3 linked regions of the Schizosaccharomyces pombe genome follow. Changing the gene in region 1 together with any one later gene gives a genetic interaction. Each region holds a gene or a part of one and is shown on either strand. Other genes may lie near its edges.

Region 1 (6,545 bases):
GCTAGTGTTTAATTTTTAGTTTTTTTGTTTAAAAATATATATAATTCTATAATACCAAACACTCTTTATGTTCCATAATAACAAATGTACAACTCATTAAATTGAAAATATGTTATCAGAACAAGTCATGATTTTATTACACAGATGCTTGCATAGATCCAAGTAAAACAGTAACCATAGGTTTTTCGTCAATTCTGTAGTAAGAGTCGTTGGCCTCCACCTCTTCGGACTCCACCGTCGGTTCTTCAAGGTTTTCATGATAATTTTTTAGAGCATCAGTCAACTCATCAATTGGAATGGATGCTTCGGAAAACAGCATCTTAATTTTTTTCAATGTCACTGTATTTTCAACGCATAACCACGAAAGGATAAGAACTGTAGATTGGAAAGGAAACAGTCCATGATCAATTTGTTGGAGAAACCATTTGGTACTCTTTTCCTCCGAATCAGGACTAAAATCAAGTTTTCTGCTTTGGTCAATACCTTTGAGTTGGATTCTCAAGCGATCGTAAATTTTGAAAAGGCGTTTCATTTTTTCAAAGTCATTTTCAATGAATTTCCGTAAAAAGCGCACCCTTTCTACGGTGTCAGCAGGTAAAGATCGAAATAAAGATGCCAGAATAGCTAATATATGTTCCAGAGTATCGGCTGCAGATATTTTCATAAACGCAGCAAAAATATATTTCAAACCGCCTGCTTCTACAAATCGAATACAATAAGGAGTGGAAAGAGGCCCAAATAAAAGATAGTCCAAAACTTTGATTGTAGAATAACGGCTTTTTCCTTTATGTTTCATATTTAGTATGCATAATTCAATACCTTCCTCTTTTAGAAAAAGGGATTTTCCTTTCGTTTCTTGAACCAGACTACATAAGCAATCAAACACGTTTTCCATCATTTCTTCTTCTGATCCTTGGGTTGGATCACGAAGCCTATAAGGACTGATCCGGCGCAACAAAAGATCAATCCCATTCAAGTTGCACACTTTCAATTTAGCTTCTTTTGAATTAGCGAGAATGATAGCTAAAATTTCAACAGCGTACTGCAAATTAGTTGATATAGAAGTTTCATCAACAGACGATCTACTCAGTAACCATTCTACCAATGTTGTGTTTTCAACTATTATTGAACAAATGCTATTGTCCACAGATAATAAATTCTCCATAAGAGAGAGCACACAATATACTCCATGTCGGTCTTCCTCATTAGATTCGTCAAACCTTTTGATTGTATTTGAAAGCAAAGGAAGCAAACCAGAATCTATAAGGGAAGTAAATAAGGAGTTTAATGCGTCTGGGTCAACATCCTCGTCAGTCAGTTCTATCAATAGCTCCAATACCGTAATAGTAATATCCGCATTTTCATGGTTCATTAATTCTAAAAACGTGGAAACACAATCTAATTTAAGGAAAATGGGTATGAGGATAGGATACTCTGAAAGCACATTGAAGCTTCGAATTTCCAGATCAAGATCTGCCTCTGATTCTATAAACCTTTGAGGAGAAGTAGAATACTTGATGCGTAACTCCTGATTATTATTAATTGTTTTTTCAAGTCGTACTACCATGCGCTTCAATTCAGTAGGAGTCAATGAAGCAGGTTCTTCCTGGGCTTCCTGTTCGTCTAAAAAGTCTAAAACGGTTTTTTCACTCTTTTTAAGCCCACTTCCAAAAAATCTACCTCCTTCCTCGTCAAATTCTTCATTCTCCTCATCGCTATTCTCTTCAGCGAGTCTTCTGCGACTACTAGCTGGCTCCAAAGAGTCTGCTTCCTCAGGGTTCCTTTTCTTATTTGTTTCCTCGGTATTTTTAAAAATTGAATCTACATCCATTTAGAATAATGTATTTTTTATGCGCCAGTTTCCTTTTCAAATTGAATATATGAAAACCGTCTGATACAAAATAAATAATTTTGACAAACTTATATTTTATAGCCGCATCAAGTAAAATAAAAGCCTTATGAAAAGACTATCGTGCAATTCAATTATAACGCCTGACTCGTTCCTAAAATTCCTCTCGTTTACCAGTTCAAGTAAAAGCTAGGTAAGATGTAGGCATGTACAAAGTGTATCAAAAGTGAAAACCAGAATCTAAGCTTGGAAAAAAATAATAACAGCAAGTAAATTCCCCTCTGTTTTATAAATATTATACAACTCTTATATCCAAGAAAGGAGAGATTGGAAGAAGGATAAAAAGTGTTTATTTAAGAGAAGAGAAGCTAAATAAAGTGCATGCAGTTAACTCGAAATTTTTTAGGTTGATTAAATAAGGAAGAAATTAGATCCATCTTGTATTACCTTTCTTTTAATTGTAGCAATGACTTTTCAAAAGAGGGTGTAAAAATGACATCCTAACTGTATATATGATAAAATTACAATTATGGATTTTCTAAAGCAATTTAAATTTAGCTATTATCACTAAAACAGTTCGGCAATTTGCAATATTTGTCTAATAAATGAACCATTTGTTTCATAAACAATCAAATTCATTAAGCTACAAATCCTTAATTGTATCTTTAGTTTTGAGTCAATCAACTTACTGGGATCCTATAGCTTTTTTGAATATCATTTGGTAAATTCAAATATGGCTCTTAAAACTTGTATTTAATTTGATAAAATTTCTGTGTCGAGAGATAAATAAATAAAGACAGTTAGAAGTAGATGCTATTCAATTAATAAATAAAATACTCGTCTATTAAGCTTTACGGCTTTCCAAAAATTTATATATCAGAATAAAATATTTCACAATTTTTTTTTTTTTAAAAAAGAAAAAGCAATCTCAATTTTCATTTCCTTTAGTAATCTGCATACCTTTTAAAATTGTGCACCTTTTCGAATTTTACTAAATAACTTCTAACTTGAACTGTCTTTCTTATTCTGCGTTTGGTCTTGTAATCAAGTGTCAAGTCCTTTAATATCAGAAGGAAAAATTATCAATTTATAAGATTAGCATTTACGGGTGTTCAAGTTGTAGCATATAACCAATTTTTTATTGTTGGACGTAAATTCGCATGTTTCAAGCAGAAACAGTATGCTTAAAGCAGATTCAGTCAACATTACGATGCATTGATTTTTCAAAGGAATGTACTATCGAAATCACAAGTCGTGGACTACGGTTTGCAGTGGAGGAATCGCAGTCTTTGCAGGGTAAGACAAGTCGAGTCTCACATCTATGATCGTTAAAAAATTTGAAGCTACTTAATAAAGTTTCATATATTAATGCGATTCTTGAAATGCATTCACTTTTTCTTTATTGTTCACTCACACATTAAGCTCACGCCTTTCTTGATAAGTCGTTGTTTCAAACGTTTAATTTTCAGGGTGATTCAGATGGGGATACATATATGTTCCAGACGATGATTTCACCTCTTTTACAATCATTATCAATTTATACAGATGGAAAAGAACGGATTTCAACTAGTGCCTGGGATCAACCCACTGTAAACATAATGCACAAACGAGGCGTTATCTGCAAAGTACAGTATAATGGACCCGGCTGTCCATTTATATGGGAGTAAGGATTTTATCATTAACATTCTGTACTGACAAAAATAAAGAGTAGAGGAAATGGCTGGTTATGCTACGGCTTGTGAACTGTTGACTATGGAATGTGAGGACGACGTTGACATCAATAGACTTGCAAGCACATTGTGCACGAAGATCATTATGAAAAGTAACTGGCTATATGATGCCTTGGTGGAATTAGACAATAACATGGGCGAAAATTTAATTATTCATACATCATCCCAAAAATCAACCTTCTTATTGAGATGTGTAGGGGCATTATCCACTACGGAAATAGAATATCCAAACGAGAAAAGTGTTTTAGAGTCTTTTGAAACTGATTCTGAAAACACTTATTCCTACCGCTTCTCATTAATAAGACATGCGCTGAAAGCATTACAAGTGGGTTCTAAAGTAAACCTACGTATTGATGAAAATGGAACTTTGAGCATTCAAATCATGCTTGTCGGTCAAGAAGGGCTTTGTACGTTTGTAGACTTTTGTATTGTTCCTTTGGACCTTGTAAGTGAAGATGAGGAGGAGGATGAAGAAGAAGAACCAGCAGAATCTAATCAGTCGGACAATAACGTTTTACGAAACGATCCGAATTATCGAGGAGATGCGGAGACCGAGGATGAGGATAGCTAAATGATAATTTTAGCACTCAGCACTTTAGTGTTTCCGATAACTTCAAAAAAAGAAAAAGGTACAATTGATACTGAACAACTTATGATAATACACTTATTCAACGAATCATGATTTATTTCCCTGCTTTTTGTTTGGTCTTATTTAGGTAGCTTAAAGTCACACCGTTTCCTCACTTTTTCTATGCTTATTTAACACACGTATAAACAAGACGCTTTCCACTAGGCTGTCTAGCAAAGCATGTAGCCAACAAAATTCCCATGTATCATACACACGATTATACATTATGGTTAGATCTACGAAGCATTCAAAAATTCTTCAAACATTATTGATTTTTAAAAAATAGAAAATGCAAAGTGACACTCATAAAACATTTGTTTACTCAAAATGGAGTCTCATCTCCTCTTGCATTCCATTTTTGGACGTTGTTGAGTCTCTGATCACAAATTCTCGCACTTTCCAACTTTATCTTGATAATTCTCATATCCTCACCCTCCACGTATTGTTTCGTATTACCCTTGTCATTAGTGTTTAAATGCTTTTCTCTAAAGAATTCCTCTTCTTTGCTATTCTTTGGAAGAACGGTAGCAAGGCCATTCAAGGTCACTGATGTATTCGAGAACTGAGCCTGATTCATTTTATAAAGTAAGGTGTACAATGAGGAGGCATCAGGATCTGTTTCTTGACGATTAGTGGTCCAGTCATGAACTAGTAATGATACTCGAGGATTCTAGTCATCATGTTAGAAAAAAGAAAATACCAATCAGGATCAAGGATAAGTTAAACTTTTAAATATGATACATACCGAACTGATGTTAAAATATTTTTTACTGTTTTCTCCTGTTGACAAAATAATGCAATCCTCCACTTCGTAAGGGGCAGCGCTTCCTGCAGGTAAATAGGTAAATGTCATCAAAGAAGAGTGAGGCTGATCATGAAAGCAAGTAGCTAGTTGAATATATTTGGATGAGGACAAGCATCTCTTGATTTGGCTGGGGAACTCATGAGATGAATCGACTTTTGAGGCCATATTTACTTTCAGGTTATTGTGGTGCGACAAAGATTATAATTTGCAGAATAAATACTGGTGAATGGAAACTATTGATCCAGACAAAACTGTACGATAATTTCTATACTTGATTATCCTTTCCTAAATTTTGGTGGTACTCCTCTCTGAGTAAGCAGGTTTGATACTAGGTTAATAGCAGAAATGCTGACTCACAACTCAACGTAATATAGAGGTATGTACTAAACAGCCAACTTACGAATTTTGCAGGGGAACTAAAGATTAATAATCTTCAAAGGAATACTGCTCATAAAATAAACGCGCTCATTTCTGTGTATCTTGGAAAATTCATACGCATTATGATTGTTGGATTTACTTACTCAAAACTAATTTCCTTAACTTATAAACACTAATTTTAGTATACGGATTTTTTTTATTTCGTAAATTAAATTAATGTAAAAATGAAATACATTAAGTCATAACAGCACGAAGAAGCTGTATTTTAGTCGTAACAAGGTTTTGGAAAACCCTTAGAAAGAGTAAAAGTGGCTATAACAACTGATAACTAAATTTACCAATGATCGATCTTCATCGTTCCTTTTTCTAAAAGGTTGAGCTGCATCTTGAAAGCATTGGCAAGAATATGGGGTTCATGACCAGCTCCTCTAGCTAAACAGTAGTTTTCGGCAATATCGAAATACTCTCTGAGCAGAGGCTTATAGTCAGGATGAGCACACTTGTCAATAACCTCACGAGCACGTTCGGTAGGAGACAAGCCTCGTAAATCAGCCAATCCTTGCTCTGTAACCAAAATATCCAAATCATGTTCGGTTTGGTCAACATGGGTAGCCATAGGAACAATACAAGTGATACCAGTAGGATCCTTCTTCGAAGGACGAACCGATGGTGTATGCATAATACTTAATTTCGCATTACGCAAGAAATCAGCAGAACCACCTAAACCGTTCAACATTCTGCTTCCCAAAACATTTGTACTATTGGCATGAGCGTAAATATCGGCTTCCACAGGAGTATTCATAGCGATGCAACCAAGACGGCGGATAATTTCAGGGTGATTGGAAATTACTTGAGGGCGTAACAAAATTCTTTCCTTGTAGTAATCATAGTTTGAGTAGAATTTTTCAAATCCCTGAGGAGAAAAACGGGTTGAGGTAGCAGTAGCAAAACGTAACTTTTCAGAGTCAAAGAGAGGCAAGAAAGTATCTTGTAAGACTTCTGTCCACACTTCGAGATCTTTAAAGGGAGAATGGGCAAGACCACCGATAATAGCGTTGGCAATGTTTCCAATACCGGATTGCAAAGGATGAAGATTTTTGGGAAGACGCCCTACAGATACTTCATGATGGAAAAAGTCAACTAAATGGCCTGCAA
Region 2 (9,174 bases), 3.5 Mb from region 1:
AGACAAAGTCTTACAATGGAAGCAACCTAAGAATCGTAAAGAATTACGACAATTTCTAGGTTCTGTCAATTATCTTAGGAAATTCATTCCAAAGACATCACAATTAACACATCCACTCAATAATCTTTTGAAAAAGGATGTACGCTGGAAATGGACACCAACACAAACCCAAGCGATAGAAAACATTAAACAATGTTTAGTTTCTCCTCCGGTGCTACGACACTTTGATTTCAGTAAAAAGATTCTACTGGAAACTGATGCTTCAGATGTCGCTGTAGGAGCCGTATTGTCTCAAAAACATGATGATGATAAATACTATCCTGTTGGATACTATTCAGCAAAGATGTCTAAAGCACAATTAAATTATAGCGTATCGGACAAAGAAATGCTTGCAATCATTAAGTCTCTCAAACATTGGAGACACTATTTAGAATCCACTATCGAACCTTTCAAAATTTTAACAGACCATCGAAACTTAATTGGTCGCATTACTAACGAATCCGAGCCTGAAAACAAACGTTTAGCTCGTTGGCAATTATTTTTACAAGACTTCAACTTTGAAATTAACTACAGACCTGGATCAGCAAATCACATAGCTGATGCCTTATCCAGAATTGTTGACGAAACAGAACCAATTCCAAAAGATTCAGAAGACAATAGTATCAACTTTGTTAATCAAATCTCGATAACCGATGATTTTAAAAACCAAGTGGTTACAGAATATACGAATGATACAAAATTGTTGAATTTACTAAACAATGAAGACAAACGAGTGGAAGAGAATATCCAACTCAAAGATGGCTTACTAATTAACAGTAAAGACCAAATCTTATTACCTAATGATACTCAGCTGACTAGGACAATTATTAAAAAGTATCATGAAGAAGGTAAATTGATTCATCCAGGCATTGAACTTCTTACAAACATTATATTACGTAGATTTACGTGGAAAGGAATAAGAAAACAAATACAAGAATATGTACAGAACTGCCATACATGTCAAATAAACAAATCTAGGAATCATAAACCTTATGGACCTTTACAACCAATTCCCCCATCAGAAAGACCTTGGGAATCTTTATCAATGGATTTTATTACAGCTTTACCAGAATCATCTGGTTATAATGCACTTTTCGTGGTAGTTGACCGATTTTCAAAAATGGCAATCTTAGTACCTTGTACGAAATCCATTACAGCAGAGCAAACAGCTCGAATGTTTGATCAACGAGTTATTGCTTATTTCGGCAATCCAAAAGAAATCATTGCAGATAATGATCATATTTTTACTTCCCAAACGTGGAAAGATTTCGCACATAAATATAATTTCGTTATGAAATTTTCGTTACCATACAGACCACAAACTGATGGACAAACTGAGCGTACAAACCAAACTGTGGAGAAATTACTAAGATGTGTATGTAGCACACATCCAAATACATGGGTAGATCATATATCCCTAGTGCAACAATCTTACAACAATGCGATACATTCAGCAACTCAAATGACACCTTTTGAGATAGTACATCGCTATTCACCAGCTTTATCACCTTTAGAGTTACCTAGCTTTAGTGACAAAACTGACGAAAACTCTCAGGAAACGATCCAAGTATTTCAAACAGTTAAAGAACACTTGAATACAAACAACATAAAGATGAAAAAGTATTTCGATATGAAAATACAAGAAATTGAAGAATTTCAACCTGGAGACCTAGTTATGGTCAAAAGAACGAAAACAGGTTTTCTTCATAAATCCAATAAATTAGCACCTAGTTTTGCAGGACCGTTCTATGTGTTACAGAAGTCGGGTCCAAACAACTATGAATTGGATCTTCCAGATTCAATCAAGCACATGTTTTCATCTACTTTTCATGTTTCTCACCTAGAAAAGTATCGACATAATTCAGAACTCAATTACGCTACCATTGATGAGTCTGATATTGGAACAATTCTTCATATCCTAGAACATAAAAACAGAGAACAAGTACTCTACTTAAATGTCAAGTACATTTCGAATCTAAATCCGAGTACTATTATGTCAGGATGGACTACATTAGCTACAGCGCTACAAGCGGACAAAGCAATTGTCAATGATTATATTAAAAACAATAATCTAAATATCTGAGAACATATGACTTATCCTCAGATTTACATAGAAAATCTTGGGGAGGGCAATGTCAGCAATACTACACTACGCTATAATACACTACGTTGAGTATCACTATATGTCACATGTTCTAATTATATATCGTACCATGTATGATACGATATGGAGATTGATCTTAATGATAATCTATTAAGATCAATATTATCTGAATACTATAAATAGAGCTACTGCTGAACCTCGTTCCTCAGTTCAGTTATGAGCTATATTAGTGATAGGTAACATTATAACCCAGTTAATACAATACCTATACTCAGTTGCTACTTATACAACCTGTGTATTGTAATATAATAGATCACAAGGAAAACTCACCGCAGTTCTACGTATCCTTAAATCAGATACCAAACTGCGTAGCTTACAATTTCATAGAAGTATGACCTTTGAACAAAATCACTATTTCACTTAATGCAGTGCTTAAATTCTTTAATTTATACTTAGTGAATCAGTAAATTTAAAATACGTTAAATGGCTTTATGGAATTTCCAAAGGAACTCTTCGAAGAGGAAATTTCAAATTATGTGATAGATTAAAGATTATGGCTATTATTCGATAAATGAGTGTTTTTTTACTCACTTGATGTGTGATATGTTACCACAAACAAAGTCCAATTTTGAAGGTACAAACATCAGAAAGTCCTGAATTCTAGCAACATTAGTCTATGTACGGACACTTTTCAACTCGTTTTACTTCATCTAGCTAATCATTTTCTTTAATCTAAGAGCCATTACATGTCTTTCTGATAGGATTTGTTCGGCTATGCTTGTTATTTGTTTATCGTATAGAGAGCGACTTATAGTGAATATATACAAAAACCATTATGATGATATACGAATTCTATATCGGTTATTAGGTGCTTCCCTAATACAATACTACACCCGCGCAATAATTCGTTATAACAAATCGTTACTGAAAAGACATGGAATATACACATTGGCAATGTAATTTTAAACATAATTAACTTCATTACTTTCTCATGAAGTTAATTGTATCTTAAACCATTTGAGGGAAAAAACTTGTCCTTTACAATTACTTCCGACAATAAAGGACGCTTTGCAGTGAATGTCTTATGGAATTGTTGTATTTGACGACTGACGAAACGAAGTACCTTAGCAAAATTCGTTTTTAAGTAATTCCAGCTAAATTTTTGCTAACAATATAAATCATTGATAAGGATGTCCGATGATTCTTTTAGTAGTGATGAAGACTGGGACGAATTGGACACCCAAGTAGTTGATAAAATTGAGAATGAATATCATAATAACACGATAGGTTTAAATGGATACTCAGTTGATGAATATTTTGATGCCAACGATTCCAATAGATATCGTCTACAACACGAGTTAGATGAAAGTGCAGCACAGCAATGGGTATACCCTATAAACGTCTCCTTTCGAGATTATCAGTTTAATATTGTCCAAAAAGCTTTATTTGAAAATGTACTTGTAGCTTTGCCAACAGGTTTAGGTAAAACATTTATTGCAGCCGTTGTGATGATGAATTATCTTCGTTGGTTTCCAAAAAGTTACATTGTTTTCATGGCTCCTACTAAACCATTGGTTACACAACAAATGGAAGCTTGCTATAAAATCACTGGAATTCCAAAGAGTCAAACTGCTGAATTAAGTGGACACGTTCCTGTTACAACTCGAAATCAGTATTATCAAAGTCGAAATGTTTTCTTCGTAACTCCTCAAACCATTTTAAACGACATCAAGCATGGAATTTGCGATCGGACTCGTATATCTTGTTTAGTAATTGATGAAGCACATCGTAGTACTGGAAATTACGCTTATGTGGAAGTTGTTCATCTACTTTCTCTTAGCAACAAAAATTTCCGTATACTGGCTCTTAGTGCTACCCCCGGAAATAAGTTAGAAGCAATTCAGAATGTAATTGATTCTCTTCATATATCCAGGATTGAGATTAGAACTGAAAACAGCATTGATATATCGCAATACGTTCAGAAGAAAGAGGTGGATTTTTTTCCTGTAGATTTGTCTGCAGAGATTACAGATATAAGAGATCGATTTTCTTCTATATTGGAACCTATGCTTCAAAAATTGAACAAGGGTAATTATTATCGAATTCAGAATGCTAAAGACATAACTTCTTTCACTGTGGTTCAAGCTAAACAAGCTTTTCTTGCAATGTCTGGTCAAAACTTTCCTGCTAATCAAAAATGGGATATTTTAAATACTTTTGATGCATTAGCGACTTTTGCCTATCCTTTAAATTTGTTACTCAACCATGGTATCCGACCGTTTTATCAAAAATTGCGAGAGGTAGAAGAAGAATGCTTTGTAGGAAGATCAGGTTATAAGAAACGCATAATAAATCACGAAAATTATCGTCCTTTAATGGACGATATAGAAATTTTGTTGCGAGATCAGTCTTTTGTCGGACATCCCAAACTAGAGCATTTGGAACGTATTGTTACAGAATATTTTGAAAAAGAACAAACCAAGGATACCAGAATTATGATTTTTGTTGAAATCCGCTCTAGCGCCGAAGAGATTTTACGATTTTTGGGTAAATTTTATCCAAATGTGAGACCAGCTATTTTTATTGGACAATCTGCTGTGAGAAAGGCTGCTGGAATGTCTCAAAAATTACAGAATGAAGTATGTAATCTGAAAATGATGGATCCTTAACTAACTAATCTCTAGACTGTGAAACAATTTCAAAAAGGTGAAGTCAATACTTTAATAGCTACCTCTATTGGAGAAGAGGGTTTGGACATAGGTGAAGTAGACATGATCATATGTTACGATGCATCTGCTTCTCCTATAAGGATGTTACAAAGAATGGGCAGAACTGGGAGAAAAAGGAAAGGTTATATTTATATGCTTTTGACGCGAGGCAAAGAAGAAGCAAAATGGGAGAGAGCCAAAGACGCTTATCGAACTTTGCAAGATAATATTGTCAGTGGTCGCGGTCTCAGCCTATCGGAAAAAAGTTATAGAATTTTACCAGAAAAGTTTCGCCCGGTTTGTGATAAACGAGTCATAGAAATTCCCAAAGAAAATGAAGAAGTTGTAGTAGCTCCAAAGAAAGTGCAATTGAGAACGAAAATAAAAAAGAAATTTTTCATGCCAGAAAATGCCTTGAATGGATTTATTACTGCGTCCGCTTTAGGTAAACCGAAACGTGCTTTAGCCAAGTCTGAAGAATCACCGTTCGAGATATGTCCCGTTACATATAGCATTGAACAAGAAAAGAAACTGGAAAAATATAAGCGTGTTTGCTTAAGAGGTTTGGATATTCATAGAAATAGGAGGTTATCTCAATTGAGTGTTACAGGACGGATACCGCATTCTCTAGCTACGAAAAGTATACATTCATTTTTAAAGCATTTAAATACTATAGATTCGCAAAAGGCTCAGGAGTGGAGAAGAGAAATAAACAACCAATTCCAAGTATCAAATATCAACTCGACGGATCGTGACACAAAACAGCCAAAGATGCATGACTTTAGACAACCTTTACACCCAAATCCGTAAGTGTTTAAACTATTGAGTTGTTTAACGATAATTACAGATTATTAACATACAGGATGACAACTTTGAAAAGGAAAGGACAACATAATTCATTTTCTTACGACAAGTCTACACTGTTTTATGACAACAACAATAATTTAGAGGAAGACCTCCCGGATGTAAATATTTCTATATCTTCAAGGAATGAAGAAGCATCCAAGACAAAACCATTTGACGACCGACAACAACGCCTTCAGCAACTCGTAGAGAAAAGGAAACGTATGAAAGGAATGCTGATTTAGAGAATTAAATAGTGTTTAGAAATAGCCTACAACGTTTTCAATTTGTAGTCTAACTCAAAAAGATATTCGTAGCATTCCATTTGAGTTTTTGATTTTTCCCATGTTGCTCCCCAACCGATAACCCCATGTCCACGAATAAGAACAGCACATGTTTGTGGATAAAGCTCGATGACTTTTTTTAGTTCATCTAATATTGTTTTACTATCGCCATTGTGGATAACTACATAATCAGTATTCAGATACCAGTCAACACCAACAGAAAACACAACTTACTAGGAACCTCTAGAGTATCAAAACAGCAAAGATAGCCTGCTGAAGGATTTCCCTTTGGAATTCCTTTGATCATTTCCTTAGATTGTGTAGTAAATTTCTCATTATACATCGATGCTCCGACTGCAGCGACTGAAGTAGAATATATACAGGCTACTGCATCCATATTACTTTTGATGTGTTAAAAATTGCTGTAAATAGAAAAAATGATGCATACCTCAAAACCCATGAGAAAATGTAGGCCCAATTGACTAAATCCTTGGTGACTGACTGATTGCTGTATAAAAGGTTAGATACTAATTGGAGCTGATCCAAATGAATAATTTACCTTAAATTAAAGGTCACGATATCGTTTTCCGTTATGAAGTCTCTTTGAACCCTGTCCTTAACGCAAATTGCATAACCACTAAATGTTAACAAAATCGTTTGAATACCGTACAATTACTTGTTCTTTAGACAAAAGTTTCCACTAAATACCAATTAGCTTTAAAAAATTACTGAACATTAAACGTCTTGAACGCTACCTGCCAAATTTCATCCATCCAAGACTGTAAAAATGAGGAATAAGTTCAAGAATCAAATTTTTCTCTAATTGGAGACTCATTCTTCTAAAATTTTCAACTTTAACCTTTAAAAGTTCCCGTACTATACTCAGAAATGATTTATTTAATGATCGGTTCTTTCAGCAAAGTGAGTAGCGTTTCATAAGTTGCGTTTGCAAATTTGATATTAAAAAGTAATTGAAGGAAGACATATGTCACAAAACACTCTACACAATCATTCATTAAGCTTATAATACACGAAAACTTTTACTTTAAAGAAAAAACAATTTGAACAAATAACGAAATAAATTACCATCTAAAATTTTAAGTCATTGTAACCCACCTATTAGAGTAACCAGTTAAATAAGTTTTCAGGCCTATATATTCCAATACTGGGAAACCAAGGAAAGTAAGATGTTAGGAAAAAAGACTTATTTTTTGACAATCGTCACTACATCCTCATCCAACAGTACATGAGATAAACCAACACGCATGCCAGGATAAGGAACGCTTTTTCCCCAAACATAAGCATGTTTAAACTGGGATTTGATACTTGAATGAATATTGTTACACTAAAGAAGTTAGCAACACGAAGATCGGCAGAAGCAATTCGAAAACTTACAAAATCCTCGACAGTAGAATGGCCAGTACGAAGGATAACAGGTTCGCTGTAATCAGGTTCAAGACCTCTAGGGCGTGTATAGACTCTAACCAAATTCAAATAGTCCCACATCGTTTCTTTAAGTTCGTCAATGTTCCAACCCCTGTTACCACAAATGGGTACGGCGTTAGGAATACGATCAATCAAATCAAGTTCTTCAATAGAAATTGAATCAATTTTATTTAACACGTAAAGTGCCGGGATATAAACGCGATTTCCTTCCAAGACATCAATCAAATCATCAATGGTGGCATCACAACGAAAAGCAATGTCAGCAGAGTTAACACGATATTCGCTGCAAACAGCACGAATTTCGTCCAAATCAATATGAGTCAAGGGGACAGTATTGGTGATATTGATACCACCACGTTCTTTCTTTTTGAATACAATGTTGGGGGGTTCCTTATTTAATCTTATACCAAATCCTTCCAATTCCTCTTCAATAATACGCTTATGAGACATTGGTTTCAATACATCCAAAACAATAAATATAAGGTTGCAAGTACGTGCAACAGTAATAACTTGTTTACCACGACCACGACCATCTTTGGCACCCTCGATAATACCAGGCAAATCCAAAATTTGAATTTTTGCACCATTGTATTGCAAAACACCCGGAACCGTTGTTAAAGTTGTAAATTCATATGCAGCGGCTTCACTTCTCGTTCCTGTAAGCTGAGTCATGAGTGTACTTTTACCGACGGAGGGAAATCCAATGAAACCTACAGTACCAATACCGGTACGAGCAACATCGAAACCAACTAAGAAAGATTAGTACTCCAAACAAAAATTTGACGTTCAGTACATACGCCCTCCACCACCTCCTCCACCGGTAGGGGTGATCAATTCACGTTTCAATTTTGCAAGCTTGGCCTTTAACATTCCCAAGTGCTTAGCCGTAGCTTTATTTTTTTGGGTTTTGGCCATTTCATCTTCAACTTCTTTTATTTTTTGCGCCGTAGTCGCCATTTTGTTTTTTTATTATATATGAAAATGCTATGAAAATGGTGAAAAGAAAATTCTATAACTAAGTACGTATAAGATCTTTTGCATTATTGAGTGCTAAGCAACCCTCTTTATTTTATATTAGTGTATTAAACCACATTACAACAGCCAAACTATTATTAAGATACCAGGTAGAATATCACGTTGGATCTCGATATTTGTTCCTTGTTGTAAGTAAATAAAAAAATATGTGAAATATTGAATCCAGTTATTCAATAGAATTTCATAAATAAATCTTTTTTCTTTTGCGTGTCTTTTTTTATGCGTTAGATCAATATAAAATATGTATGTATATAAAAAGTTGATAATTTTGTTTTGTTTTTCTTACACAATTTTAATGCAAATATTAAATAAATAAGATTGCAAAAAAGTAGTTGCTGATTGCGCAAAAGCTTGGATTAACAGTATTTTTTGATAAATAAAAAAAGAAATAAATAAATTTAGTATGTTCTAAGTCAACGGCAAATGAATTATTATTCAGGGGTTGAAGATAATGTCAGTTAACAAGGTTAATTATCGGGTCAGGGTAATAATTAAAAATTAAATAAATAAAAAATATCTGCGGCTGTTGCGTATAAACAGTAGACGGATGAGCAATTATCCCCAATAGCCTAAATACAAAATATAAGAACACATAGTAGAAACTACAAAAACATTTTTACCGGCAACAATAACCTCGTTGATATAGTGGTATTGTTGATAACTCAAAAAGCCCCAGCGTTTTGTGCGCGAAAATTATATTAATATTAACGAAAGC
Region 3 (5,082 bases), on another chromosome or scaffold:
ACCTGATGTTTACGAACTGTCTGATCAGGTACGTATTCCTGGATGTCATGACATGGCTGCCAATATTGTGCATTTCGATACTACGTATCCAAACATTAAAATAACACATACTGTGCGTACAGTACTTCGCTTTTCTTGCGAAAATTCTCCTGAATTAATGGGCTCTGCAAAATATTTGGAAATCTATATTGATTCTCCTGTCCGACTCTTATCTTGCAGATGTTCTGATGGTTCAACTATGCTACCTGCGTATTGTCCTATTATCCCCTCTAGTGAGGTAAATTTTTGCTCAATCGACAACAGAATCATTGCTGGTATGAACAGGGATCTCGCACTTGATTCTGACATTATCGGAAATTCTCCACCATCCTTTGATTCCTGGACCGCTGTCCCGTATCAAGCACCACCTCCAAAGTACGATGATATTTTTCAAAGTGGCAGCAGTCATGATGAAAATCATGATGACAACTAGTATCTATTATTTATCTGTGATTTATTATCTATTTGCATTTTTGTCTTGCCTTGTATATAAACGTTTTTGTTATTATATTTTTTTTCGCACTTGCTATTTCCATTGACTGTTGTACATGTTCTTTTTATAGTTTCATTAATATATTCATTATTTTTCTTATTATTAAACATATGTGTCTCATTACTAAAATGTTTTTAGGGTTAAACTAGCAGCAGTTTGCTGTAGAGAATTATTGGGGTGTAAGAGTTTATTATTTTTTCATTGATGTCATTGAAATCAACTTACAGAAAAGCAGTTATTTGTTAGGAGCTGCTGTTTTTATAACCGTGTTCTCTATAGTAAGACACGAACTCGTCTATGAGGGTTGGCCACGCACCTTCAAAATCATAATTAGAGCAATTGGGATCTGATTTAACAAATACACTAAAATCCCATAATTCATTCCACGTATCCTTTGGCAGAGATTTTTCGATAATAGGGGAAACTTTTAAAAAAGCAATCCAATCATCCAGAAGAGGAAAAGTATCTTTAAGAAGAATCTGGAAAAATTCAATGGCAATGGAAGTGCTTAAAGTCTTCTTTCCTTTATCACATGCAAGCGGGTATGTGTAAATATAAATGGCTTTTTGAAGGGATGCATCTGACCTCCAAACTTGCACTTTTTCTTTTATGGCAAGTTTTAATTGATCAAGGCTAGTTGTTGAGAGATTGAGAGCACCTTCAACAAAACTTTCTCGATGGAATTCTCCCATTCGCGGGGACTTTAGGAAATAAGAAACAAGTAGAGTTTCAGGATCCTCGAGTGAAATGTCTAGCGCCGTAAATAATTGCACCGAGCCATCAAGTTCTATCAAATCTTTATCCTCTTTAGAGGAAAATTGACTGAAAACATTGTTTAATTGCTTTTCCGCCTCTTCTCTAGATTTTTGCTGTATCCATTTCGTGTAGGCCACATCATAATCAAAATTATACTTTTTAAGCCAGCTGAGAGCTGCCTTAGAAGAAGTTGATGTGGCTTTAGAAAATGCTCTAGTCAAAGATACGGTATCCGGTTTCATAGGTTTTTGATTGCTATTGTATATACACTTAACTGGTAAAAGTAGCTGTATAAGTTTTTGAGAAATAAACAGACTGAATTTAGCAAAAATGTAAAATTTGAGCACAACCGGTTGACCAGATTTTCGAAAAAGGGAGACAATAATCAATTTTAACACCGTCAAACAGATTTGTATCTTGAGAGAAAACACAATCCACGGCTAACACAGAAAATGAGTATTATACGGAACAAAAGAGTTGAGTTAGTAATTTGGTTTTATATGCTTAAGCTGAGAGTTAGCGAATGGAAGTACAAGCAGCAATTAAGTGATTGTCTGTAGATAACTATTGGTGTATGTACAAAAACATCTGAAAACGGAAATAGTTAGTTTAAAATCTATAGTTTCACAAGTCTACTTTAAATGTTATTTTTCGAAATTCTTACCTTTTAAATGTACTTATTTACTATTACGTTGCATTTTCATATCAGTACAAAATTGTCCAACTCAATTTTTTTTTTAAGATTTATGGGTCAAACATAAACGATGCGAAAATTTGTGTTTTTTTATTGAAAGAAAAAAAGAAAATTTCGGTGTACTCACTCTCTTTCCAAAGTTAGTTTACCAAGAAAACTTCTCAACTTCAACAGAATGGTACATGCTCATATCGGCTGAAAAAAAAATATATTTTCTTAACTAATTCATATTCATAAGATTCAAATGTTTTCGTAACTACAATATCGTTCTGTATACTCTGTTATTGTTGCAATTTCTCAAGTTTGTAAAATTTGTTTAGAAACGTAAATTCGTTCCTCAGTCTGATTTTCCTCGTAATAATTAAGTTCTTAACCTTCTATTACTATAGTTTAGTATAGATAGCATAAAATTGCATTTAAACGAATAAACTCAACAATATATCAAAATATTGCAATTATTTTCAATTGCTCTGTCACCTCTTTATTCCGATATATTTGGAGTTTGCAATAAATCAACAGGGATATTGTTTTCGAATGTTTCAGTAACCCTACCCTGGTCGTTAAAGCAGTCACATGTACACTGTTTATCATCCAAACATACTGTTGAAGGTCCGTTAGGAAGTTTTCTATCGCCATCTAACAACCATGGGACGTGTTATTAGAGCTCAAAGAAAGAGTGGTGGAATTTTCCAAGCTCATACCCGTCTTCGTAAGGGTGCTGCTCAGCTCCGTACTTTGGACTTTGCTGAACGCCATGGTTATATTCGTGGTGTCGTCCAAAAGATCATTCATGATCCTGGTCGTGGCGCTCCTTTGGCTAAGGTTGCCTTTCGTAACCCTTATCATTACAGAACCGATGTTGAGACCTTTGTTGCAACTGAGGGTATGTACACGGGCCAATTTGTCTACTGCGGTAAGAACGCTGCTTTGACTGTTGGTAATGTGCTGCCTGTTGGTGAAATGCCTGAGGGTACCATCATTTCAAACGTTGAGGAAAAGGCTGGTGACCGTGGTGCATTGGGTCGTTCTTCGGGTAACTATGTTATCATTGTCGGTCATGATGTTGACACTGGCAAGACCCGTGTCAAGTTGCCCTCTGGTGCTAAGAAGGTTGTCCCTTCTTCTGCCCGTGGTGTTGTCGGTATTGTTGCTGGTGGTGGACGTATTGATAAGCCTTTACTCAAGGCTGGACGTGCATTCCACAAGTACCGTGTCAAACGCAACTGCTGGCCTCGTACTCGTGGTGTCGCTATGAATCCTGTTGATCACCCTCATGGTGGTGGTAACCATCAACACGTTGGTCATTCTACCACTGTTCCTCGTCAATCTGCTCCTGGTCAAAAGGTCGGTCTTATTGCCGCCCGCAGAACAGGTCTTTTGCGTGGTGCTGCTGCTGTCGAAAACTAAGCCATATATTATTCTAGGGCCTTTTAATCTTTCTATAAGGTTTTACACTTTTTCCTTCCTTCCAGTTCTTATTATCTAATTCATCTGGTATCTCATTTTCATACTTCTTTCGCCTCTTAGAATATAGTTGAATTTGTAGAAATCGTAAGCTTTGTGTTTACATTTGCTGTAGTGCCTTGTAACCCTTCAAAGTCCGCTTGAAGTTGAAATAGACGGTTGGATGGTAATAGTCGTATTCAAAGAGAATTGTGATAGTGGTTCTAATTTATTTTATGAATTGTGACTTACATTTACTGAGCATTAAGTGTAAAGATCCATTACTTTACCAAATGAGTTTATTTCTATTTCTTATATAACTCCAATGCGCCTCAAATACTAGTTTGTTCCTAATGGCGATAAGAGTACATGAATGACATCCTAACAGAAATATAAAATTAAATACACTGAACAAGGATACAAATTAATGTTTAAATCATTAAGTATAAAAAAAAAAAAAGTATAGTAAATATTCTAATTGTTTTGCTAGTTAACTTTTGTGCGCTTGGTGTGTGTATTTACGAAATATAAAAATTAAAAAATGAACTCCCACTGCGAGATTCGAACTCGCAACCTTCCGGTTAAAAGCCGGACGCTCTAAGCCGATTGAGCTAAACGGGACTTGTTGGTATGTACAAATAATAATTCTATTTATCCCATTTTCTTTCATAAAATAAGTTTATTTCTAATAAATTTTTTTTATACATTTAAGTATTGTTTTTGTATGTGCATTTTTTATTCATTTGCCTGAAGTAAAAATTTTAAAACCATGTTTATAGTATATGGATTGATGTTCATCAAAAATTAAATTCCGTTTAAAAATTGTTTCGGAAAAATAAAGGGATTGTGTACGATTGCTGTAAATGTTAAAAAGGAATAGCTTATTTATTTTAATAAAACATGCAAAAAATAAAAATAAATAAAAGGGATAGTTGGCTCTGTTTTATTTATGCTCGTATATCTCTTTTATTTTTTAAAAACAGAATATAATAGGTACAAGAGGTTGAGCATGTAAACGATGTCGTAAAGATGTTTTTGGGTAAAAAAAGGGTCATTAATAATAATTTTAATCATGATGAATTTCCTTGGAAATTAGACATTCATCTGCCACTGTTTGACATGTTGCTGTGTTGATAAAAATTCATTTAAGGACAATTGATACGTTTTAGAAATGAAAATGTTTATTGCACAAACAAAAATATAATGAAAATGTTTATTGCACAAACACAAAATAAATGCAAAAAAAAGAAAAAATCATTGAAAACTTAGAGAAAGCAGGTAACACATTTCATTTAATTATTAAATGTAATACTATTGCACGGATACTAAAAAATTTATCAACATATGCTATATTACTCAATTCCAACATATTAGAAGAACATGTTGATCTGCTTCTTATATATCTCTCTACTCAAAGAATGTGGAAGCTAAATAACTTAAAAAAAACACTGCAATATAAGGGAAGCAAAAAAAAATAGCCTTACAATACGATGAAATTTAAATACAAAAAATTCGCATTGAATAGTATTTTAATAACTACATCAAAGGAAAACAAAGATGAAGCCAAGTAATGGCAAATTATGCACTGAAAAGTATAAATGGACCCATTACGACCGAAATTTCATTTACTGTCTGCGACGGAAACGCTCTTGAGGGG

Evidence for each region. Genes that interact genetically often act in the same process or in processes that back each other up.
Region 2: mutations in rad1 (region 1) and fml1 together harm fitness more than expected from each alone (negative genetic interaction), as found in Schizosaccharomyces pombe (2 studies listed by BioGRID).
Region 3: mutations in rad1 (region 1) and dcn1 together harm fitness more than expected from each alone (negative genetic interaction), as found in Schizosaccharomyces pombe (2 studies listed by BioGRID).

Annotation. Positions count from the first base shown.
Region 1 is NC_003424.3:4,975,610-4,982,154, forward strand, and holds rad1 (checkpoint clamp complex protein Rad1), read left to right. Parts: upstream 1-2,968; 5' UTR 2,969-3,009; coding exon 3,010-3,145; exon of another isoform or gene 3,146-3,271; coding exon 3,272-3,512; exon of another isoform or gene 3,513-3,555; coding exon 3,556-4,150; 3' UTR 4,151-4,529; downstream 4,530-6,545. Other genes in the region: SPOM_SPAC1952.06C (uncharacterized protein), read right to left, coding at 137-1,831; SPOM_SPAC1952.08C (pyridoxamine 5'-phosphate oxidase), read right to left, coding at 4,530-4,877, 4,953-5,177; ach1 (acetyl-CoA hydrolase), read right to left, coding at 5,725-6,545. UniProt on the Schizosaccharomyces pombe protein: Recombinational reparation of DNA damages induced by UV and gamma radiation.
Region 2 is NC_003424.3:1,467,727-1,476,900, forward strand, and holds fml1 (ATP-dependent 3' to 5' DNA helicase), read left to right. Parts: upstream 1-3,107; 5' UTR 3,108-3,333; coding exon 3,334-4,782; intron 4,783-4,827; coding exon 4,828-5,657; exon of another isoform or gene 5,658-5,713; coding exon 5,714-5,939; 3' UTR 5,940-5,965; coding exon of another isoform or gene 5,966-6,159; 3' UTR 6,160-6,212; coding exon of another isoform or gene 6,213-6,379; 3' UTR 6,380-6,426; coding exon of another isoform or gene 6,427-6,486; 3' UTR 6,487-6,537; coding exon of another isoform or gene 6,538-6,615; 3' UTR 6,616-6,654; coding exon of another isoform or gene 6,655-6,678; 3' UTR 6,679-6,733; coding exon of another isoform or gene 6,734-6,813; 3' UTR 6,814-7,182; coding exon of another isoform or gene 7,183-7,323; 3' UTR 7,324-7,373; coding exon of another isoform or gene 7,374-8,173; 3' UTR 8,174-8,221; coding exon of another isoform or gene 8,222-8,381; 3' UTR 8,382-8,549; downstream 8,550-9,174. Other genes in the region: Tf2-1 (retrotransposable element/transposon Tf2-type), read left to right, coding at 1-2,122; SPOM_SPAC9.06C (5'-methylthioribulose-1-phosphate dehydratase), read right to left, coding at 5,966-6,159, 6,213-6,379, 6,427-6,486, 6,538-6,615, 6,655-6,678, 6,734-6,813; SPOM_SPAC9.07C (GTPase Rbg1), read right to left, coding at 7,183-7,323, 7,374-8,173, 8,222-8,381. UniProt on the Schizosaccharomyces pombe protein: ATP-dependent DNA helicase involved in DNA damage repair by homologous recombination and in genome maintenance. Capable of unwinding D-loops. Plays a role in limiting crossover recombination during mitotic DNA double-strand break (DSB) repair.
Region 3 is NC_003423.3:598,654-603,735, forward strand, and holds dcn1 (neddylation protein Dcn1), read right to left. Parts: upstream 1,807-5,082; 5' UTR 1,531-1,806; coding exon 775-1,530; 3' UTR 626-774; downstream 1-625. Other genes in the region: aly1 (arrestin-related trafficking adapter), read left to right, coding at 1-472; rpl803 (60S ribosomal protein uL2), read left to right, coding at 2,628-3,389; protein new14, read left to right, coding at 4,661-4,903; rps1701 (40S ribosomal protein eS17), read right to left, coding at 5,051-5,082.